4 linked regions of the Drosophila melanogaster genome follow. The protein of the gene in region 1 purifies or fractionates together with the protein of each later gene. This does not show direct contact. Each region holds a gene or a part of one and is shown in the gene's direction. Other genes may lie near its edges. The genes, in order: Ote, Hmgs, Flad1 and CG10214.

Region 1 (4,390 bases):
TGGAGCTGCGCGGGATTTGCATCTAAAAGACAAATTGGGCGCGCCGCCCATTCAATTCTTATAAATATAAATATATATTATGTGTATCTAAATCTATATCTGTGTGTGTACTACTCGTATCCGTAGTTTCTACTTTATAAGTTCTCCGTGAATGACTACGATGAATTTTTCGGCCAGCAGCCGCACATTAATTTTAATTGTTTCTAAGCATCAATTTGTACTTTAAATATTTATACGCATATGCTGCATATATGATATGATAACGATGGCGAGATATATATGTAATTAAAGGATTATCTATGTGAATGTGGGTGTGTAGTAATTCACTAGCCGCTTCATAGACTCTACACGCGTGATTTATGGCACTTAATGTTCTGTAGCCTAAGCCCAAAAAAAAAGAAAAACTGAATGAGAAAGCTCCCATCTGGCCCTCAAAAATCCCGCTTCCTATCCCAAATACACATTGATTCTTTAGAATTTATAAATAAAACAAGTATTGATTGTAAATATACCTTAAAGCGAGTCTTTTGTATTGTAAATTAGTTCCACTGATTGATTTGGTGGCCCTGCTTAGGTGCTTTGCCACCAAGTTCGTGTTATAAACATTAATACATAATATTGTAATTTACTATATGTGTTGGCAGCATTTGCTGTTAACCGCAAACGAAATGCAAGCGATTTACCGAATAATAGCAATTTGAATTATGTCTTCATGTGTAGATCGGCGAGTGTTTTCCTTACACTCATTTAGGAGTCGCTAGGTTTTTTGACATTCTTAATGCAATTTGTAATCAAATCGTAGGAGGCATTCGACTCACGGATACAAACACACAACATAACAAAACAATTAAATGGGATTTAACAAATTACCATAATGGCTTATGCAACGGTACAAGCAGAGTTTTATACAAATTATGTATTTTAGAGATGGATAAAGCGCATTGAATTGAATTCGAAACAATGAAATTGTATCTAAGCAAAGAATGTAATCCACAAAATGGCTAACTAAAGCTAAATCAAGCATTCAAATATGGGCGGACGAATATGAACAAAACACATAACTAGCGGCTAAGAAATTTCAACAAAATATAGTACACATATTTAAAGTATACAGAAAATTATAAAAAACAAAAACAGCTTTAGATGTGAATAAAAAATATGTAATTAAATCAAAACAGCACTTCTTTTGTTTGGGTCATATACGGGAACTTCTGATGGATTAATAATAAACGTTAATTTTGTTTAGGAATGAAGTCTTTTTTAATATCATTAGTTGCTAACGAATTAATCTAGTTATGTCTATGCACTGCCTAGGGGTATGATGAAGCTCATATAGTCCGCTGTGGCGCCCCAGGCTGTGCGATTTGTCTGGAATATTATTATCCAGGCAGTTAGTACTATCAGCCAGAATAGAGTCCCCACTGCAGAGTATATAACATCTGGAGGAAGGTAGGAAAGAAATTGTGGAATATTAGACTGTATGGCATGGGCATCTATTCATATATTGACTTACATCTCTTTATTTGGCTCTGCTCCGAAAATGGTGGCTTATGGAAGGCCTCCGTGAAAAACCAGCAAACGTTAATGGCCCACACAAAGGGCAGAAATGCAAAGCCAGCTAAGTTCGAGACAAATAGAAAGTAACTTGGTTAAAATCCAATCATTACTCATTGGTAGTAACTCTTACCAAAGAAGTATTTGCGACACAGCTCCAGTTTTCGCGGATTTGGTGCCTTTGAGATGTCCATGATTAATCCTCTTCAAATATGTGGGTGTTTGCTCCTTTGTTTTCGAATCTGTTTCCGGCCCAGGAAAGTTTTTTCGTACTTATATGTAAATTGTATGTAATATGTAAATTGTAATAGCTTATATTTTCACTTCAATTTTTGCTTTTGTTGATTTGTGTTTTAGTTTTTAGTCCATTGGAGCGCAATCGATATCGATAAGTTATCGAAACAGAGGTGAGCTAAACTGCGACTCTTGGATCACTGTTTCATTTGCCAATATCTAACGTAAATAACGATATAATAATATAGCATAGATGTTTTATTACGTTTGCACGATTTTGCGATGTGTGCGATGATTAGTATGAAACATCATTCCTTGTGTTCCCTTTTTTTAAAACGCCAAAACTGTTACAAGTCAAGCCCACTTCAGTGTTGTATATCCCCTAAAACAGAATCATCGATAGGTAATACTGCTGCCATCACTATTTTAGCACACACCGCGTAAAAGCGACGCCGATTTCAATTTTCAACGAATTATTAAAAGTGTGCGAAAAACCATACAATGGCCGATGTGGACGATTTTGATTCTCTGTCCAATGCTGAGTTGCGCGCCAAGATGCTGGCACAGGGGCTGCCCAACATCCCCGTGACGGATAGCAGCCGGAAGGTTCTAGTAAAGCGTCTGCGCGCCTCCATTGGTGGCCAGGCGTCGCCGGCCGCTAGTCCCAAGAAGACCAACAGGCGGGAGACCCTGGCTCCCGCACCTGGTGCACCATCTGCTCCGGCGGCAGCCTCCACGCCGGTGGACAAGCTGGATGGCAACAAGGTGGCGCCCGCCACAAAGGCTCGGCGCACAATTACCGCTGCAGAGGCCAAGGAACCAGTGCGTCGATTACCCGAGGAAGCTATACGCCGACGCCCCGACGAAGCCGACCGCCTACGATCCGAGGAGCCCGTTGCCGCCAGGAAGCCAACAACTGCTCCTGCTGCTCAACCCGTACAGACCCGGCGCACTTCCACCTCCTCGGGGTCTGAAAGGAAAGTAGTGGAGCCCTTGAGGAAGCCAGAAACCATTGTTGAGCAACCGGCTTCCTCGAAGCGCGCTGATCGAGAGGAGAATTATCTTAAGGTCAACTCCCTGATTGTCCTAGAGTCCGATGAAGAAGAGGACGAGCAGCTAGTCCAGGCTGCAGATCTGGTGGAGCAGGAGCACGCGGCCAGACAGAAGACCACGAAGCTCGCAAGCAGCGGCACCACTACGTACGAGTACAAAAGCAAGGTTGTGGAGCCTCCACGCCGACAGGTCTATGAAGCGACAGCAGCTCCCGTGCTGCCGCCATCTGTGCCATCTGCCAGAGCGCAGACCACCAGTTCCACCAGGTCCTATGACTATGCGAGCAACCCAGCACCCGGTCGCTATAGCAGTTTTGTGCGTACTGCAGCCCAAGGCTATGTGACTGCAGAGGCTCCGCCGGTGGCCTCCTACTCATCCAGCTACAAGCGTACCTATGCTAACGAGCTGAGCGACGACACTGATTCCAAGGAAGACCAGTACGAAAGCACATTTGCCAGGAATCTAGCTCGTTTGCGAGCCGAACGGATTGGAGATCGCATCAGCCCGTATTCCAGACGCACTCTGGCCAGTGGAAACGCGGGTAGCGGTTCTCTCGGCTATGAGCCGCGTGCCAGGCGCTCCTTGCGCCCGAATGATAACAGCGTATCCGAGGCCTTTAACCGTTGGTTGAACAGCCTGGAGCAGAAGTATCACATCAAGTCGAAGCTGTTCATTGTACTCCTCGTCCTTTTGTTAATCGGCGTTTATTACATATTCTACTGACCGGCGCATCATTGTTCTTATTTCGAATTTGTAATCTAGTTTGTATACCATGTTGGATATGTTTTGTAAACAAGACTGCCGCCGCGGTCTTTGTATGAATCTTGTTTTGATGTAACTTGAGCTTGAGTTTGACTAGCATTTAAGCTGCGTGTTATCCGTGTTCAAATAAAGCCCACTTGCAGGGAATCTCCACAGTTGAACACTTGCTCTGATGTTTTTTCTCCAAACGGCTTTCGATTCACTGCGCTCCACTTGTGGCAGGTGTTTGCCCAGATTGGATCAAGAAACAGCAGCAAACGACGATCGGCTAATGATGGAAAAGTATCTGGAATGCGTGTACAACACTTGTCGGCATGACTCTGACCAAATGTAGGCGCAATGGCAACCAGGCAAGCGCAGCTCTTATCTGAGCTAAATTGTTCCTGCTGCGATCTGATCTGCGATCCTTGCAATGCCTTGCAATCAGAATTAATAAGAATTTTACAAGTCGGCTCGGCGGCCGGTGTGCGTTATTTTAAAATCCTTGCCCGAGTTGGGCTGTTTAATTTTATTAACTGGAAATCGCACTTGCGCGTATTTCTTTATTTTCTTAAGGAAATTTCGCGCCATATTTAGCGGTAACAAGCGCGACCGGATCCGGGTCTGACTTGCATGCCAGCAATAAGTTATGAAAATTGCAACATCAGTGGCTCGGGGGAAATGCCAGTTGTGCTGGGGATGTTGCTGCCACGGCTGCCACGGCCGCCACGACCGCCAGTCGCCGCCGATGATGAATTCCACAAATGCATGGAACAGCCAGGCGGCAGATTCCTTGAAAAACAAAGCC
Region 2 (7,818 bases), 1.9 Mb from region 1:
CTCCGGTTGTGCCACATGCTGACGTGCTTCTATGTCGGGGGTTCGTTGCCGAATGAACGGCTGGCCTAACGACCAGATGCCATGGAAGTCGAAAAAGCCAACGGCCGAAGTATCTGCGATCCGGTTCGTCAGCCGAACACGAATCCGTCCGGTTGTGATGACGAAGCCGCACGAAGGGCACGGAAGGCAGGAAAGGAAAAAGGCGCCATGGCCCAAAACCAAAACGAGTGCTCAATTTGGGCAAGTGTCGCTGACTCCTAGCGTCGCTACTACTCTGTTTGCTCCTGCCACAGGGCGTATGAGTAATCACACAGCAAACGCCACGAGATATAAATCTAACTTTACCCAATTTCGGCCTATGGTCGGCACTGTTATTACATAACCACCATGATGGCCTTCACAAAGAGACACGAAAACAAAACATGAGCCCAAGGAGTGACAACAGCCCAGCTCCCCGGCTCCGTCTCCAGATCCGCCTTCCTCCTCCTGCCCCATCAAAAGTCAAGGCAGTGCATTGTCCTCGCCCAGGAAGTGTCGGGAGTAGCAACAAGGACAACAACTGGAGGGGGCGGGAGTGACAACAGCAACAATCCTGGCAACAGACAACGAGGAATGGTGGTAAGTGGGATACGGAAACACGCAAAGAAAAAATATCACCCGAGGCTATAAAATATAATTTGGCATCTAAATGAAGGTTAAGAATGACATAACCAGGTGATCAGTCAAATTAGAAGTTCATTTTTGCAAGATCACTTGGTACATGTATTAAAAATATATTTACATATATGCTCAAATCGCAGATAAACATTATTGTATAAGTATATATATTTTTCAATATATCCTTTTCAGCGGAATCAAACGTCCACATGCTTTTCAAACTGAATCTCCATATTATGATTCATGACATGTAAAATGATACGAAATTGATATGTGAATGTTATTATCTAATTTATCTAGATATAAAAGTTCAGATTTTAGTAATGGCTGTGTGTAATGATCTAATGGCGGAATGTAGCTCATGATAATTAACCACTCATGTTTAGGCTGTAACATATGCTTGATATACTCCATAATGTGACTTGCAGAATAGCAATGACAGAGAACTTAGCACGTTTTGTTTCCAGTGCACAACTACGTACGTATGTTTATTTTTAGCAACGAAAGTCAAGTTGCTGCGGGCCAAAAGGGAAGCACATATAGAGATATAGTTAGATATATGGATAGATAGGGAGGACGACGAGCAGGAGTTACCGACTGTTATGCTGCCATGTTCATGTTGAACTGATGACGTGGATTGGACCGAGTCCAAGGGAAATGCGAGGATAAAGGACAGAGGGACGATGAGCGGAGGGCTCCAGCCAACGCGTCGCCAGGCGAATGGAGACAGTCTGACTGGCCAACGGCTGGCGCTAATGGAGAGGGCCTGGGGTCCAGGTCCTAATCCATATCCCGATTCCAAGCCCATACCCATATCCAAATCTAGATACACATCCAGTTGGGGTAGTCCAAATCCAATACAGGAAATTGCAGCGACGAAAACAAAAGACAATAAAAAATGGAACAAAGGAGGAAAACAAAGTTTTGACGATATCCTCGCCGCAGTGGGTGTGCGCCCAAATTAATTAATAATAATGTGCTTGCCGGGGGGTGGAATGTGGGTGGGTGGCTGGCACCGGCTTGGTGAAAGTGGGTGGCTCGGGAGACCTTGCACACAGACATACAGATAAGCACGCGCTGGAATTCCAGCAGCTGTTTGGCCATTTGAATTTCCGCCTTATTGGCCGTGTTTGAGTTTTGCCTACAGTTTCGTAGAGTATATATATCATGTATAATATGTGCTTGGTTTTCATCAAGGTCCTTGTTGCACGCAATACGATTATTTATTAATCCTCGTGCAGCGCATCAAAGTGTATTTGCTTGTTTTCGCACAACACGATCTATTAATCAGCGAAATACGTGCCTTATGGCAAAATAACCGAAAAGTATTTCAATTTTTAAACAACATTTTCCAACTTTTTTTGTTTACCCAAAGAGCGAAAGAGAATTTTGTGTTCTCTTTCAATTTTCAAAGCGCCTATTGCGCTCTTTTCACCACTCGCTGTGGTGAGTTGCTCTCGCAATGTCAGCTGTTCGTTGACAGTCACATGACAGTTTTTCGATCGATAATTTTCCGCTGCTCACGGGTTTTTCATTTAAGCACAAAAACCAAAACACTTTTCGCACATTTTCCCGACTCCCCGCCCCCAGCCCACACGATCATCAGCTGGATATTTCCAGATACATCCGCAGACCTCGCGGCAATCTGCCGTCGAACGAAACGCAACAAACTGGCGAACTCTTTTTTTCAGGGTCACACTGCTTCGACAAAAAATCATAGCCACATTGCAAAAACTAATTTTCTCACTATCTTCAATAATCTACAAGAGATTTGCGCACTTTTCCTGGTCAGCAGACCTACTGCGATGTAGTAATCGGTCTTTTTTTTCGGCGGGGGGTAACTTTTGCACTTTTCACGGCGACGTGGAAAACCCGCCGAATTAACTATTTCTTACGGTTGGCACTTACTTTTCAGCGAATATGGTTGATTGTAAACGAAGCAGGTGTGCTTTTTGTGCTATTTGAAAACAGCAAGTGCGTTTTTCTTTGCCAAAAAATCAGCGCAAATCGACCGCCGCCACCCACAAATGCGAACGAAATTGTGTGGTGAGAAAAGCGCTGGCGAAAAAAGTGACAGTTCACAATGCCCACGAGATTCACGTGATGGCGCCAGTGTTGCTTAGCCAGCGAGCCAAACAGCTGACTCCGCCAGCAGCTGTTCCAGCGCCGCGCGCTCTCCAACACTGCCTGCGGCTAAGGTGCCGCAGTTTCATTGCTTAATTTTATTCCAGATTAGTTTAGTTTAAAACATATCGCCCGCCCTGGACCATTAATATTAGCAAGTAAGTTGATTGCGAGTGCGAGTACTGTTCGTGCTGCGCTGGATGAGGGCTGTGGGCGTGGCAGGTGGTCAGTTTGGGCGCTGATGTAACCAGAAGTCGGAGGAACATAATATGTGTGCAATTAGAATTGGTTATTGTAAATTGGGAAAAGCTGTTTCACAGTGTTTTTCCAGCCGTGTGTAATAGTGTAGATTTAAAAATTATCAACATCCAGTGATATGTGTCACCTCATAGATCAGTTTCATAATCCTGACCCCTAAACTATGCTTATCTCCCGGCTCTCAAATACACGTGTATTTCTATCGGGAACATCCCGACCTTTGACCTCCTCCTCCTCCTCCTCCTCCACCTCCGCACCCTCCTGCAGCCGAAAAAGAAAAGAATGACTCAAGAGCAATCAATTAGCCAAGTGCGCAGCAGTTCCAGGAAATGTTTATTCAAATATTTCCCAATTCCGAAGTGCTAAAAATAAGCCCACAAAACCACAACAGTGCCCCGTTCCCTTCCCTTCGATGACTCCTTTTCCGCATAAACAGCGCATCAATTTCCATTCTTAAATCCACGGGCTGCTTAGGAACACCGGGTGAGCTGTATTCCACGCAGGCACTCGAGGAATTAATGACTTAAATCACTTAAATTGCTTGAAATTAGAGTTTCATGACTTTGGATAATGATTCATACTCTTTTGCACAATAGGACAAAGTATTCTCTTATTTGTTAATTTTACTTACTTTAACTAAACTGTATTAATTAACTTAAGTACGACTCAAGTAATATCACAACTACTTAAAGTAGTCTTGTTATTATCTTACTTTAAGTGATTTCTGTAGAATATTTTATCAATTACCAATTGTGTTCAGGTGATTTGAAATCACGTTTCAAGATAGTGTTCAGAAAAGATGATAATCCAATTTAAGTTATACCAGTAGGAAAATTAGTAGAACTCAAATTATAAATAATTTTCTATTAATAATTCCTAAGGGCACGTCTTAAGTAATTAATCGGAGAAAAGCTATTGGAAGTCACTTCCCAGTTTTTGTCACTGAAATGGACAGAGTGTCACATCTTATTCGGTGGCATTTTTAAGGAAGCCGCTTTGTTTCGGCCTTATCAGCGATGGACAGCCTTTGATCTTTACCCCATCGCAAAAGGCCACGACTATCGATGTGCATATCTATATAGTCTGGCGGCTTCTTAGTCCCCGACGATTGTGTTTCGTGCTCGCTGGCCGTATCTAAGCGATAAATATTTCCCGTAATTATGCACGATCGCTATTTGTTCGCCGAGCGCTTTCAGCAATTGGCATTGACTTACAGCGCCTATTCTCGCCTCTGTGTTTGCTCGGTGGCTAGGTGGCTTCGTTGGCTAGGTGTCTGCTTCTCCACTGCCAATTCCGTCGTCATGGTCATATTCATATGCCAGTGCAGCGCCTCCAGTGCCGTCAGTCCGCGGAGAGATCCGATCGAGTGAGCTTCGCGCTACCCAGCCTTTTTTCACAAATCCACAAAGTTCCGGGCCGAAAAGTGAAAATCTATAGTCAATAGGCCAGTAGTCGCAGGTGCTAAACGTAACGGTAAATATGTCAACCGCTTTTCGGGTTTGGGCCACACTCGCACCTCTTATCGGTTATACAATATGGACGCGTGTGATTGAGGGAGAGTGGTGGTTGGTGCTTAGTGCTTGGTGGGCATGACCCACTTATGGGTGAAGACGCTCCCAGCCTGTCCCACAATGCTCCACCGAGCAAAATTCCATTCTATTTCGATAGGAAATCATAATATTTCGATCATCATTTTGATTTAATTATAATTTGCGCCTAACTGAAATTAAAATGTGTGAAAATGTAGAGAAGTTTCAGGGGAAGCGGTTTTGAAAAAAGAGTTATTGTGTTAAAGTAATCATTTTTGTAGCTTGTTCTCTGACAAAAAAAGTTTAAAAGAAATGATTATCTATTGTAAATAAATGTAATCATAAATTCTCTGCGTGTAGCCACAGCATCCACGCCCCTGTCCCTTTGGCTCTTTGGGCTTGTCTTGTTGGCTTACATTTATTGCGATGCGTGTGTTTTGGCTTACTTCACAGCGGTTTAGTGTTCTCTTTTGTGGAGCTCGCCTGAGCGGGGGAAACTTTCTCCGCTCCGGCGGCTCTCTCTCCCTCTCTCTCTCTCTCTCTACACGCTCAGTTTCTCAGCCAGGGAAATCAGTTGGCCCCCAAGACGGGGGCCTCTGGCTGGCAGACTTTGATGACTTCTTCAGCCGCAGCCAAAGTCACTGGCTTACACACGTCCAACGCAGCTCGAGCGTGCAACAGGTTGTCTCTGCCCTCGTCCAATTTGTAAGCATTATAAATACGCCGTGATTGCGCGGGGAGAAAGTTTCCCAATGCCAATTGGCAGTGGAATTCGGGCCACATCGAGAACTCTGCTTAAATTAAATTAAACAAGGCCTTAGCTCCCAACATCATGAAGCAATTTCGAAACGCAAATAGTGATTGTTATAGTTGTTAATAACAAAGATATTGAATTAAATATTTACTCTCATGCCAAAGCTCCCACTAAAAGTATACAAATTGTCTCTCTTACAGAGCTCAGGATTAAATAGATAACCGGATACAATCATGGCATCCCACTGGCCCGAGAACGTTGGCATACGCGCCATCGAGATTCTCTTCCCCTCCCAGTACGTGGACCAAACGGAGCTGGAGACCTTCGATGGTGCCTCCGCGGGCAAGTACACAATTGGCCTGGGCCAGGCCAAGATGGGCTTCTGCTCGGACCGCGAGGATGTCAACTCTCTCTGCCTGACGGTTGTGAGCCGCCTGCTGGAGCGGCAACATGTGAAGCACTCGGAGATCGGACGACTGGAGGTGGGCACCGAGACCATTGTGGACAAGTCGAAGTCGGTGAAGTCCGTGCTGATGCAGCTGTTCGCCGAGAGCGGGAACACGGACATCGAGGGCATCGACACCACGAACGCCTGTTACGGCGGCACGGCGGCGCTCTTCAATGCCGTCAATTGGGTGGAATCTTCTAGCTGGGACGGCCGCCTGGCTTTGGCCGTTTGTGCTGATATCGCCGTGTACGCCAAGGGTGCAGCGCGCCCAACTGGTGGTGCGGGTGCTGTGGCTATGCTGGTGGGTCCAAATGCGCCGCTTATCCTCGATCGTGGACTACGCGCAACGCACATGGAGCACGCCTACGACTTTTACAAGCCGGACCTCAGCTCCGAATACCCAACGGTAGATGGAAAGCTCTCTATTCAGTGCTACCTTTCTGCTCTGGACACCTGCTACAGGCTGTATCGCAAGAAGTTCGACCAGCAGCAGAAGGATACTTCCAAGCAGCCGGCCAGCCTGAGCACCTTCGATGCTATCCTATTCCACACACCGTTCTGCAAGTTGGTGCAAAAATCTGTGGGTCGCCTGAGCTTCAACGATTTCCTGCTGAGCAGTGAGGAGGAGCGAACGAAGCAGTTTCCCGACCTGGAACGTTTTAATACCGCTACCCTGGAGAGCACCTACTTTGATCGCGATGTGGAGAAGGCCTTCATGACGCAGTCCGCCAACATCTTTGCCAGCAAGACCAAGAAATCGCTGCTGCTGGCCAACCAAGTGGGCAATATGTACACACCCTCGGTGTACTCCGGTTTGGTGTCTCTGTTGATTAGCGGACCAGCCCAGGAGCTGGTGGGAAAGCGCATTGGTTTGTTCTCCTACGGATCCGGACTGGCTGCTTCCATGTACTCGATCAGCGTGACCCAGGATGCAGCTGCTTTCGAAAAGTTCGTCTCGCAGCTGGACTACGTGCAGCCGTTGCTGAATTCACGGGAGAAGGTTGCGCCCGAGCAGTTCTCCGCGCTGATGGAGGTGCGGGAGAAGAACAACCATGCGGCGCCCTACACGCCAACGGGCAGCATCTCCGCACTGTTTCCCGGCACCTACTACCTGAAGGACGTGGATGCGCTGCATAGACGCACCTACGAGCGCACACCGACCATCAGCAATGGGGTGCACTAACCCCGGGCTATGGTTCCTTCGGTTTGGTTTCGGTTTCGCCTACAACTTGACAATAACTCTAACTCTCTCGACCAAACCCATGTAAGCAGTAGCTGTAGATGGTATCTATTTATAACTGGTATGATCCCGAGGGGTCGCTATCCTTTTTGCTCTTATTCGGGTCCTTGTCGCGTATATAGTACTACACTTCTTATTTATACAAGCTTGCGAATTAACTCTTTCATCCAGTCAGACCTTATTTATATCATGGAACAAGTCTTAACTAGCGTCGGTACTGCAATCTATGCCTATAATTGTACAATACTTATACCTGTGTGTAATGCACACAATCAATTGTTTAATAAACAATAAAAATCAACAAAGTCAAACTCTTCAGTGATTACCTGGTATTTATTGTCGGAATTAACTTATTACACAGATCATCGATGCAACGTCAATGGACAATGTGGAAATAGTGTGTATATAAGAGCATATTCGATTTGATGGCAGCGGCTGATTTGCATATCTTGGGCTTACAACGCTGTAAACTTGTAGAAAGTTACGCCTGGGGGAGGGGAAAATGAAGTAAGTCAGGGCTAGTTAGTGTTTTGCAACGGATTTTACCATTGGGATTGACGCGTGTGATGAACTGACTCTCAGACTGGAAGACGCCCAACTTGCTGCTGGCATCGTACAGATCCTGCACATTATAACCCTTGGGATTCGTCAATCCGAGCTCCTTGACCGTGAAGGGGATCCTGTAGGGAGCGCCATCATCTCGGCGACTGACAAAGGCGACAGCATAGGAGTGATGTCCACTCTTGGTTACTGGCGTAATGGGACGCTTCCAGACTTCGATTTGGTTGCGGGACAAAACACGGCGCCC
Region 3 (4,996 bases), on another chromosome or scaffold:
CTTGTTGTTGTTTTCCATTTGCCTGGCTTTGCATTGGTGTAGGTGTGTCACTGTGTCGCGCAGTTTTTGCCTGCAATTTGTTGCTGCTTTTGCGTTTCGCTTTTCGTTTACTGTTGCTGCACTCAGCCAAGGTGCACTGGAAAAAAACCAAGTACTATTCGTACAACTAAATTCCCATAATAAATTCAAAATAAATACAAAATAAAAGTATTTAAACTACAAAATATTCCATGTTACAAACAAGTATAAATCCAAGAATTGAGTTTGATGTGCAAATCAACTCAGTACTGTGGTTACCTTTTGGTGAACAAGTTTCAATTTGTACCGTAGAAATTTGTACTGTAAAAGATGTGTTTTGTTTCTCCTGCAGTTCGCAACTGTCGCGAGCGATGGCGCACCATAAGGAGCAGCTTCCTGCGATCCCTGAAGCTGGCACGCACACAAACGGGACGCGGCAAGCGCAAATACTACCTATCGAAGTATCTTCAGTTTCTCGTTCCGTTCACCAAGTCGCGATCCTGCCACAAGCAGCTGCCGGGCATGGTGCTCCGCAAACCCGGCCAAGCTGCCACTGCTCAGCAGGAAGATGAGGTGGTGGCGGCGGAGGAGGAGGCCAAGGTGAGCGATGGTGAGATGCCGCTGGACGTTCAGGTGTCCGAGGAGGAGCATCGTCGTAATCAGGAACAGGATCGGGAGCAACCCACCGCCTGTTTGCCGCTCCGCCTGCATTCCATCAAAGTGGAGCACGATTCGTCAAATGCGAACCAGCAGCTGGAGCGGATGGTGAGCCAGCAGTCGCTGGTCTCGGTGCCCGCCGCCGCGCTGGGCAATCACCTGGGCTGGTCGGATCTGACGCAGTGGTTCAAGGGACATGGCAGCGGTCATCACAAGTTAACCACAACAACAACAACACCAACATCACCACCACCGCCGCCGCAGCCGGCTACGTCAGCTCTAAGTGTTTTCACTGGCGGACCAGGAGGAGGTGGCTCACAACCGGATGCCGACTACTCCTTTCTGATCAGCCTGCATCCGTACATCAAGGAGATGAACGGCAAGCAGAATCGAAAGTTTCGACAGAAGGTCGTCGGACTCATCGACGATATTCTGGATAACAAGGATGTCTAATTTGTACACGGAAAAAAAACCGAAGATGCTTACGTTTCAGCGATGAAAATTACGATTTGTAAACGGCTCTATCAAAATTACCACACACAAGAGATGCATATTTTGAATGATTGTGCGGAAATATTCTACATACCAAATGCAACATTATTTCAAAACCAACATTTTCACCACTTTCAGATTTCATTCTGGCCATCATATTGCTAACTTTTAGACAATGAACTTAGTTTTTAAATATTTATGTCTAAGTTAAGTGTGAACGTACATGAAATTTATATCGAAGTTTATATGCACTGCATCGAAATTTGTAAAGCGCCCAGTGGAACAGGATGAAATCACCAGTTATGTGATATTTTCTCTCCGTGAAGAAAAAAAGCCACAAGAATCGAAGAAAACACACCCAGTTGATAGAAAACGCCAACAGTGCCCATTTATTAGATGTGTAGAGCGTACTTTAATTACGCTTTTTATTGTTGTTGTTAAGCACACACACAAACACGAATTTGTTATTGTCGAATAAAACATTTAAACTACGAACATTTTATTTTACTTCAGACGGAACAGAAACAAAATTTGCGTATATATGTCGCATTTGCTGGCGATATGCGAAATTGCGGATTAAAATCAAAACGAAACTTTCAAAATTATTTAATGTATAAATTTCTAGCTTTTTTTTTGAATTTCTAGCTAGCCAACCGCCTTAATCGAGTGCAATCGATAGATTCAGCGCACAGCTGATGCACCGATAGTACGCAAAGCTTCCTGGCTTTGTTGTTGTTGTTGTCGCCGTTCGCTTGTTGTTGCACTAAAAAGACGAAAAAAGGAAGGAAAATCACTGGCGCGGAATAACAATTAACAAAATGGAATAATTGCATTGCTGTCGCCGTAACTCATCAGTTAAATGTGCGCCAGTAAACAGTCGATGCAGCAACGAAACACATGAGCTATTGGGTGAGCTATGCGCGTGTGTGCGTGCGCCATGTGTTTGGCCTGCATGCGTGTGTGTGCGTGTGCGTGTGAGGGCCTGAGGTTTTGGCTTTATATCACTTTTTTTTTGTTTTTGCTGACTTTTCCGATACGAAAGTGATGTAATTTTTGGCTGGCCACAAATAAGCCAACTCACTCGCACGTCAACCGCCGAAGCATTTACCACGCTCATCGCACAGTTAAAGTTTGTTTATGGGCCTAGAAAATTACATAAAGTAAATACTTACACACACACACACACACGCAAAAAAAAGATATTTTTCGGCGAAAGTTTTTTTTATGTTTTATTTATTGAGTGCTAATAGTTGCTCTTTTGACTTTAACAGCGTGTGACGTCATCGTTTTTGCTAGCCAGGGCACGGCCACGCCTCCCACAAACATTACGCCCACTGAGCACCATGAACGAATGCCGGAAGAACATCACAAACATCACAAACATTACAGCGAACAACAGCATTCTATGCGCAAAGAGCATTAGCAAAAAGCATTTGTTTCTAGAGAAACGGAGCATGTCGGATCGTTCGGAGAACTCCAAGGATGTGGCAAAGGGACAGGATATATCAAATCCAATGGAACTAACAGCCGAGGATCGACTGGCCATTGAGGAGCGGCAAAATAAAGCGTTCGCCTTCTTCGCCGAAACCCTGCAAATCTACGGCGTCGAGGAGCTAATTTTCTGTTTCAACGGCGGCAAGGATTGCACCGTGCTGCTCGATCTCCTTATGCGTTACCTGCGCCAGGAGAACATCTCCAGCGGCGACATTCCCATGCTGTACATTAAATCCGGCGATTCGTTTCCGGAAATCGATGAGTTCGTCGAGCGTTGCGTACGCAACTACCGCGTCCAGTTGGTTCAGTACGAGGGTACGCTCAAGGAGGCACTCACCCACATGTCGTCGGACATGCCGCGGATCAAGGCCGTCTTCGTGGGCAGCCGCAACACGGATCCCTACTGCCAGCATCTGGCGCCCATGCAGGTGAAGCTGGTTAGGAATATAGCAATCAGGAGATAAATCATATTTAAATGTTTTGCACTGAAATGCTCAGGAGTTCGTAGGTTCAAGTGTGAAGAAAAGTTTCTTTCTCAAGAGTAGTAGATTGATTATAAAGCCAAGTTATCAAAGTCACAGCCTTAGTATCAAAATTATGCCATTGTTAATCTAGAAAAGTATGTGCCCTTTGCCAATATCACAGTGACAGTGGCATTTTCGAATGTCATGATTCCATTCCGCAGATAAGCGAGTTCTGTGGTTCACCACCTAACATAGAATTTATTCGAGTATTTTACAAAACCAAATGTATCCCGCTTATTTGAAAATCTCACAAGATCACAAAGATAATAATGAAGCTAGCTTGAAATAGTTTTGGAAAGTTCGAAACTGCTGTTTCCTATTAGGAAACCCCAAGTGCCTAGTGATGCTAATTTCGATTTTTTTTTTAGCCCACGGACAACGACTGGCCGCCGATGATGCGCCTGAATCCGCTGCTGGAGTGGAGCTACCACGACGTCTGGCACTACATCCACTTGAACTCGGTGCCCTATTGCAGCCTGTACGATCGGGGCTACACCTCGATCGGGAATCGTGCGAACACAGTGCCTAATCCGCACCTCCGACGCACCGATGCCGAGTGTGAATGTGGTTCTAATTCCGATGCCGTCTGCTCCTGCGATCTGGGTGGCTATCGGCCCGCCTGGGAGCTCCAGGATGCCACCATGGAGCGTGCTGGTCGCCTGCCCAGGAAGTAGGATTCCATTTGCGTGGCTATAGTGTAATTGAATAGCTTAAACTCCAGTTAGTCACGAAACTTTATATAGCTGTGTATATATATTAACGTGTGATCTGGATTTCGGTAAACAAACTTAATTTAGTAAAATTTTGTACGACCTAAGGTATGCCGCTGAATAAATGTGGCCTCTGTTAGCAGGCCACTTAAGCAGTATTCCTAGTTTTTATGGAGTATTTAAATTTTTAGTTGTTTAGTTGTTGAATGTTTCTTTCTAATTTTGCATAAAAGCTGAAGCAAGCTAAAAGAGCCAAAGAAACAGCACTGGCTTCAGTGCAAAATCTAGTGCTGCAGCAAGCTGGCTTTTAAAAGCTAGAAAAAGCTCAAGATGCCATGGTGCCACTGTTAAAACGCCAGCATGGCAGCACTAGATGGCCAGTCAGCTGTTTTGCCAGCTGATTTTCGCCGCATTTTCACAACATTACGCGATTCTTTGAACTTTTTTTGCTGTGATATTTTTACGAGATTTACGTAATCCTACGCGCCGATCATCACCAGCGAATCACCCACGCGAGAGCAGTGCACAATAAACCAGTATTTCCTCGCTCCGCGATGTCGCGATCCGCACAAGAAGCTGCGGCGCTGCTGCGGGGACTGCGGATCTTGTTGGAGGCGTGTGGGCGCGAGCATCTCGCCCACGGTCGTCATCTGTGGAGCAATTCAAGCATTCGTGAGCTAATCGCCGAGAATGTGGCGCACACACAGCAGCTGGTGAGAAGTTCCAGTCAAAATCCCACCGAGGAGCTGAAAAAACTGCAGCAAACTGTAAAAGAAACGGGCGAAAGGGGCTACGTGGTGGCCAAAGGTATTTGCTCGCTGCTGGAGACGAAAATCAAGATGTCCCGCGAGGAATCGGCCATCTCTGAGCCTGCACAAGTCTCCTCAATTCGTAAATCCACACCCACGGCACAAAATCCAGCAAGTTGGGACGCCGCCAACTTGGATATATCATCCATAACGCTGCAGGAGTTCGAGGAGATACTCTCGCGCCGGAACAAAGATCGTAGTGTTAGCTTGCGCACCCCGGCAACCAAAAGCAACCAGACCATGCCCAAAAAAGAAACGTCAACCAATCCGGGCATCATTACCCAGGACACGG
Region 4 (3,522 bases), on another chromosome or scaffold:
TTGTAGAAGGAAAGAGGCAAGACGGAAATGTGTTTCTTACATCTATATTTTATGCACGTGTCAATTACAATTCCAAAGGATACTTATAAAAAAAATGTAAAAATATTCATGTGCAACGCGACGCGGTTTGGCGGAGGTGATCTGGCGATAGTGAAGGAGCGGCGCCGCGCTGGGAAGCTATATTATCGCGACTCGGGCTTAAATTTTGGTGGAACCATCATGCCGGTCATATGTTTTTGTTTCTTGGCTTTCTTGGACTTGCCGGCACCCGACTGAAAGTCATGCCAGCTGTTTACTCGGCTCTGGCGCGACTCTTCGAAGTTCTGCTGCCATTCGCGGTCCGCCTTTATCCGCTCCTCCTCCTCGATTTCCGTTTCGCGCTTTCGCTTTCGCTCCTCCTGGTCGCGTTGGTCGAGCTTTTGCCGTCGACGCTCCATGTCGGCAAACAGTTTCATGACCATAACGTAGATGGCGTGCTTGTACTTGGTGGGATCGTCCTCGGGTATTGGCTCAGTGGGCCGACCCTCTTTTTTAAGCTTTTTACGCTTTTCTGCAATCTGAAAGGTAACGAACAAATTAATATAATACAGTACAATAAAGAAAATGTGCCATTGCAATTGGATTTTCAATTATTCTAAAGCCGGACGATCATAGAGCTTAATGCTCCGAGGAACTGGAACTCACCATTTGATCCGTTCGCCCCTTTGCCTCCTCGTACACCTCCAGACACCTTTTGCGCGTGAGTTCGTTTTCGAGGATTTTCCAGGAACGCGACACAATATCGAATGCCATTTGAGCGCGCTCCTGGTTGTCGGGATTCTTGTCTGGATGGACGAGGATTGACAAGGTGCGGTATCGCTTTTTTATATCCGCCAATTCGACCTCGGGCTCGATTTGGAGCACCTCAAACGGATTGAGATTGAAGTACGTTGAACCTGGACGAAGTAAACGATCAATTTGTTGAGAAGGAGTTAAAACTGAATCACGTTTTTCAATTTCTTTCACCTGCAATATAGGCACAAAATCATTTACTAAAGTGTACATAATAACAAGGGTTTAGTTTATTTGGAGCGGCTGCCGTGCAAGGAGCCCGACCCAGTGTAGAATAAAAACTGAGCCTGCGGTTCCGTCCGCCACACTTACTTCTGTGTAGAATTCCTCGAAGTTGTCATGGGAGGTTCCCGGTTGGTCTCTGGCCGACGAGGAGGACATGCTGCAACAATAACGACACCTTTTGCGTTTTCCGTACAACAATTTTTGATAAAAATATCAACTCGACAGAGTGACCGTGCGCGGTTTGTTAGAAATTACCGTTCGCTGTAGTTAAAATGGCTCCAAGTCGTTATCGCATAAAACCTTTAACTTTAATTACAATTACTTTCGACTTTGGTGGATACAAATAAGAATGCTGAACAAATTATTCTGCAATTATTTGGGTATGAACATAATATTCGATTTGTTTTGTTCCTGTAATGACAGGAATCCCCCTTTCAGTGTTGGGCAATGTGCCTGTAGTGTGACCAGTTGTTATCGTAACGATACCATGTTATCAAACACATGGTAAAACCGCCGCATATTTACATTTAGCAAAAAGAAACCTGCGCTACAGCTATATATGCTTGCTCACCTTCGACGCGTCGGATTGTCCCTGAACCGCCAAATTCGGAGCCACATCGCATTCAATTCAAATGACAGAATGAGCAGCACCTGTGGCTTAGACACGGACATCGTGTGGATGGACTTGGAGATGACCGGGCTGGACATTGAAAAGGACAAAATCCTCGAGGTGGCCTGCATCATTACGGACCAGGACCTGAACGTGAAGTCGGAGGGACCATGCTTTGCCATCAACCATCCGCAGGAGGTCTACGACTCGATGAACGAGTGGTGCATGAAACATCATTACAATTCAGGTCTTATTGATCGATGCAAGAGCTCGGATGTGAATCTCGAAGAAGCCTCCAATCTAGTGCTATCCTATCTCGAGAAGAACATACCAAAGCGCGCCTGTCCGCTTGGTGGGAACTCCGTCTACACCGACCGACTATTCATTATGAAATTCATGCCATTGGTAGATGCTTACCTGCATTACCGCATCGTCGATGTGTCCACCATCAAGGAACTGGCCAAGCGATGGCATCCCGCAATTCTGGATTCCGCTCCCAAAAAATCTTTCACGCATCGTAGTCTGGACGACATCCGAGAAAGCATCAAAGAGCTTGCGTATTACAAAGCGAACTTATTTAAATAAATTAAAGCAAGAATTTAAAGCACCCTAGGAATTCTTTCAATACCTAATGCTTTATTGGCAATATGAGTCTATAATAATTTTGGATAAAAGTCCGCGTTGTATTGTTAAGCGTGAAGTTAGGCTTATATTATTGACAAATGCATTATGTTAAAAATAGATGTACAATATCGTTTAGTGTATTTTCCGTATATGCACGGAGAAACAGAAATAAAAATACGATAGCAATAAAGAATTCAATGCTAGTAGACGCCGTTGATGTTATTGTGGGTGGCTGAATAATGGTTCGGATCCTGCCTCCTCCGCGATGACCGGTGGTTGGAATTGCCGCCATCGCTGCCCGTCACCTTCTCGGCCTCCATGCGTCCGGATAGAAAGCTGGCCACGCGCTCCTGTCGAATATATTTAATATATATAATCATCTTCCGTCTGACTGCTAGTATCACATCCTTTCTTACCAGGTAGGCATTGGTCAGGCCCTGAAGGCTACCATAGAACGCCAGCATGCGCTTGAAAAGAGATTCAGCTTCCTCTTTGGAGATGGTTTTAACCTTGTCCAGCCGTGAGATTGTGATGATGCGGTGGTTGATATAGATAATATGGTGGGCAACCTCTGTTGTCGTGTGCGCCAGGTTTCTGTAAGGTTTGGTTCGAAGGGGTTCACATGGAAAGATAAGGATGGAGGCGGGATCTACCAACCTGGGTATGTTGGCTGCCACATGAGCACTGAAGTTCACTAGATGAACCACACGCCTAGCCGATTCGCGGGTCAGTAGCACAATCAACTGCTCCAGAGTGGCGGGCCTCGCTTGATTTTCGGGTTCATCTGCACTGAGATAGACCCACAGTTCCTTGGCCTTTTGAACGGCCTGCTTGGGATCGGTGGCAATCTGTGGAATGGGTTTCGTTTAAAAGTGTTATTTGGGTTACGGTTGTACACCAGAATACAAACAGACATTGCGTAATCATTTCGTAAGTAATTTGAATTGGTTACTGTAATCTTATGGTTTTTTTTTTTACCAAATGATACTCAAAAATTAAAGCAAATAGGTTACTGAATTTTACTGACCAATTCTGCGGCATAGAAGAGCACGTGGATCGCCTCCTTGCTCTGCTTTTTGAGGGCGCGAGCCTCTGCGATGGTTCTTTGGGTAAGGCGGCGCTTCAGTTTGCGGGAGAAGCGTTGACCATGATGGATCGCCTTGATGGCGCCCCTCTCGTCCGGCACGGCCTCGTTATCATCCTCCTGTGGGCCTGCAAGGCGGATACTCGGA

Evidence for each region.
Region 2: the proteins of Ote (region 1) and Hmgs purify together in Drosophila melanogaster (affinity purification with mass spectrometry, with the first as the bait; one large-scale study listed by BioGRID). This does not show direct contact.
Region 3: the proteins of Ote (region 1) and Flad1 purify together in Drosophila melanogaster (affinity purification with mass spectrometry, with the first as the bait; one large-scale study listed by BioGRID). This does not show direct contact.
Region 4: the proteins of Ote (region 1) and CG10214 purify together in Drosophila melanogaster (affinity purification with mass spectrometry, with the first as the bait; one large-scale study listed by BioGRID). This does not show direct contact.

The regions. Positions count from the first base shown.
Region 1 is NT_033778.4:18,274,979-18,279,368, reverse strand, and holds Ote (otefin), read left to right. Parts: upstream 1-2,191; 5' UTR 2,192-2,289; coding exon 2,290-3,564; 3' UTR 3,565-3,762; downstream 3,763-4,390. Other genes in the region: pen-2 (presenilin enhancer), read right to left, coding at 1,300-1,439, 1,514-1,618, 1,688-1,748. UniProt on the Drosophila melanogaster protein: Inner nuclear membrane protein. Involved in the attachment of membrane vesicles to chromatin during nuclear assembly, and is probably required for centrosome maturation and cell cycle progression during mitosis.
Region 2 is NT_033778.4:16,333,925-16,341,742, forward strand, and holds Hmgs (HMG coenzyme A synthase), read left to right. Parts: upstream 1-2,165; 5' UTR 2,166-2,939; intron 2,940-4,377; exon of another isoform or gene 4,378-4,512; intron 4,513-5,190; exon of another isoform or gene 5,191-5,273; intron 5,274-5,515; exon of another isoform or gene 5,516-5,522; 5' UTR 5,523-5,555; coding exon 5,556-6,953; 3' UTR 6,954-7,318; downstream 7,319-7,818. Other genes in the region: CG7997 (uncharacterized protein), read right to left, coding at 7,466-7,497, 7,557-7,818.
Region 3 is NC_004354.4:12,900,409-12,905,404, reverse strand, and holds Flad1 (flavin adenine dinucleotide synthetase 1), read left to right. Parts: upstream 1-1,888; 5' UTR 1,889-2,064; coding exon 2,065-2,076; intron 2,077-2,242; exon of another isoform or gene 2,243-2,327; intron 2,328-2,438; coding exon 2,439-3,089; intron 3,090-3,553; coding exon 3,554-3,859; 3' UTR 3,860-4,052; downstream 4,053-4,996. Other genes in the region: CG4404 (uncharacterized protein), read left to right, coding at 371-1,128; Coq8 (coenzyme Q8), read left to right, coding at 4,450-4,996.
Region 4 is NT_033777.3:23,765,492-23,769,013, reverse strand, and holds CG10214 (uncharacterized protein), read left to right. Parts: upstream 1-1,525; 5' UTR 1,526-1,615; coding exon 1,616-2,251; 3' UTR 2,252-2,490; downstream 2,491-3,522. Other genes in the region: CG10375 (uncharacterized protein), read right to left, coding at 183-557, 685-1,005, 1,144-1,212; Lsd-1 (lipid storage droplet-1), read right to left, coding at 2,491-2,640, 2,707-2,884, 2,948-3,138, 3,318-3,502. UniProt on the Drosophila melanogaster protein: 3'-to-5' exoribonuclease specific for small oligoribonucleotides.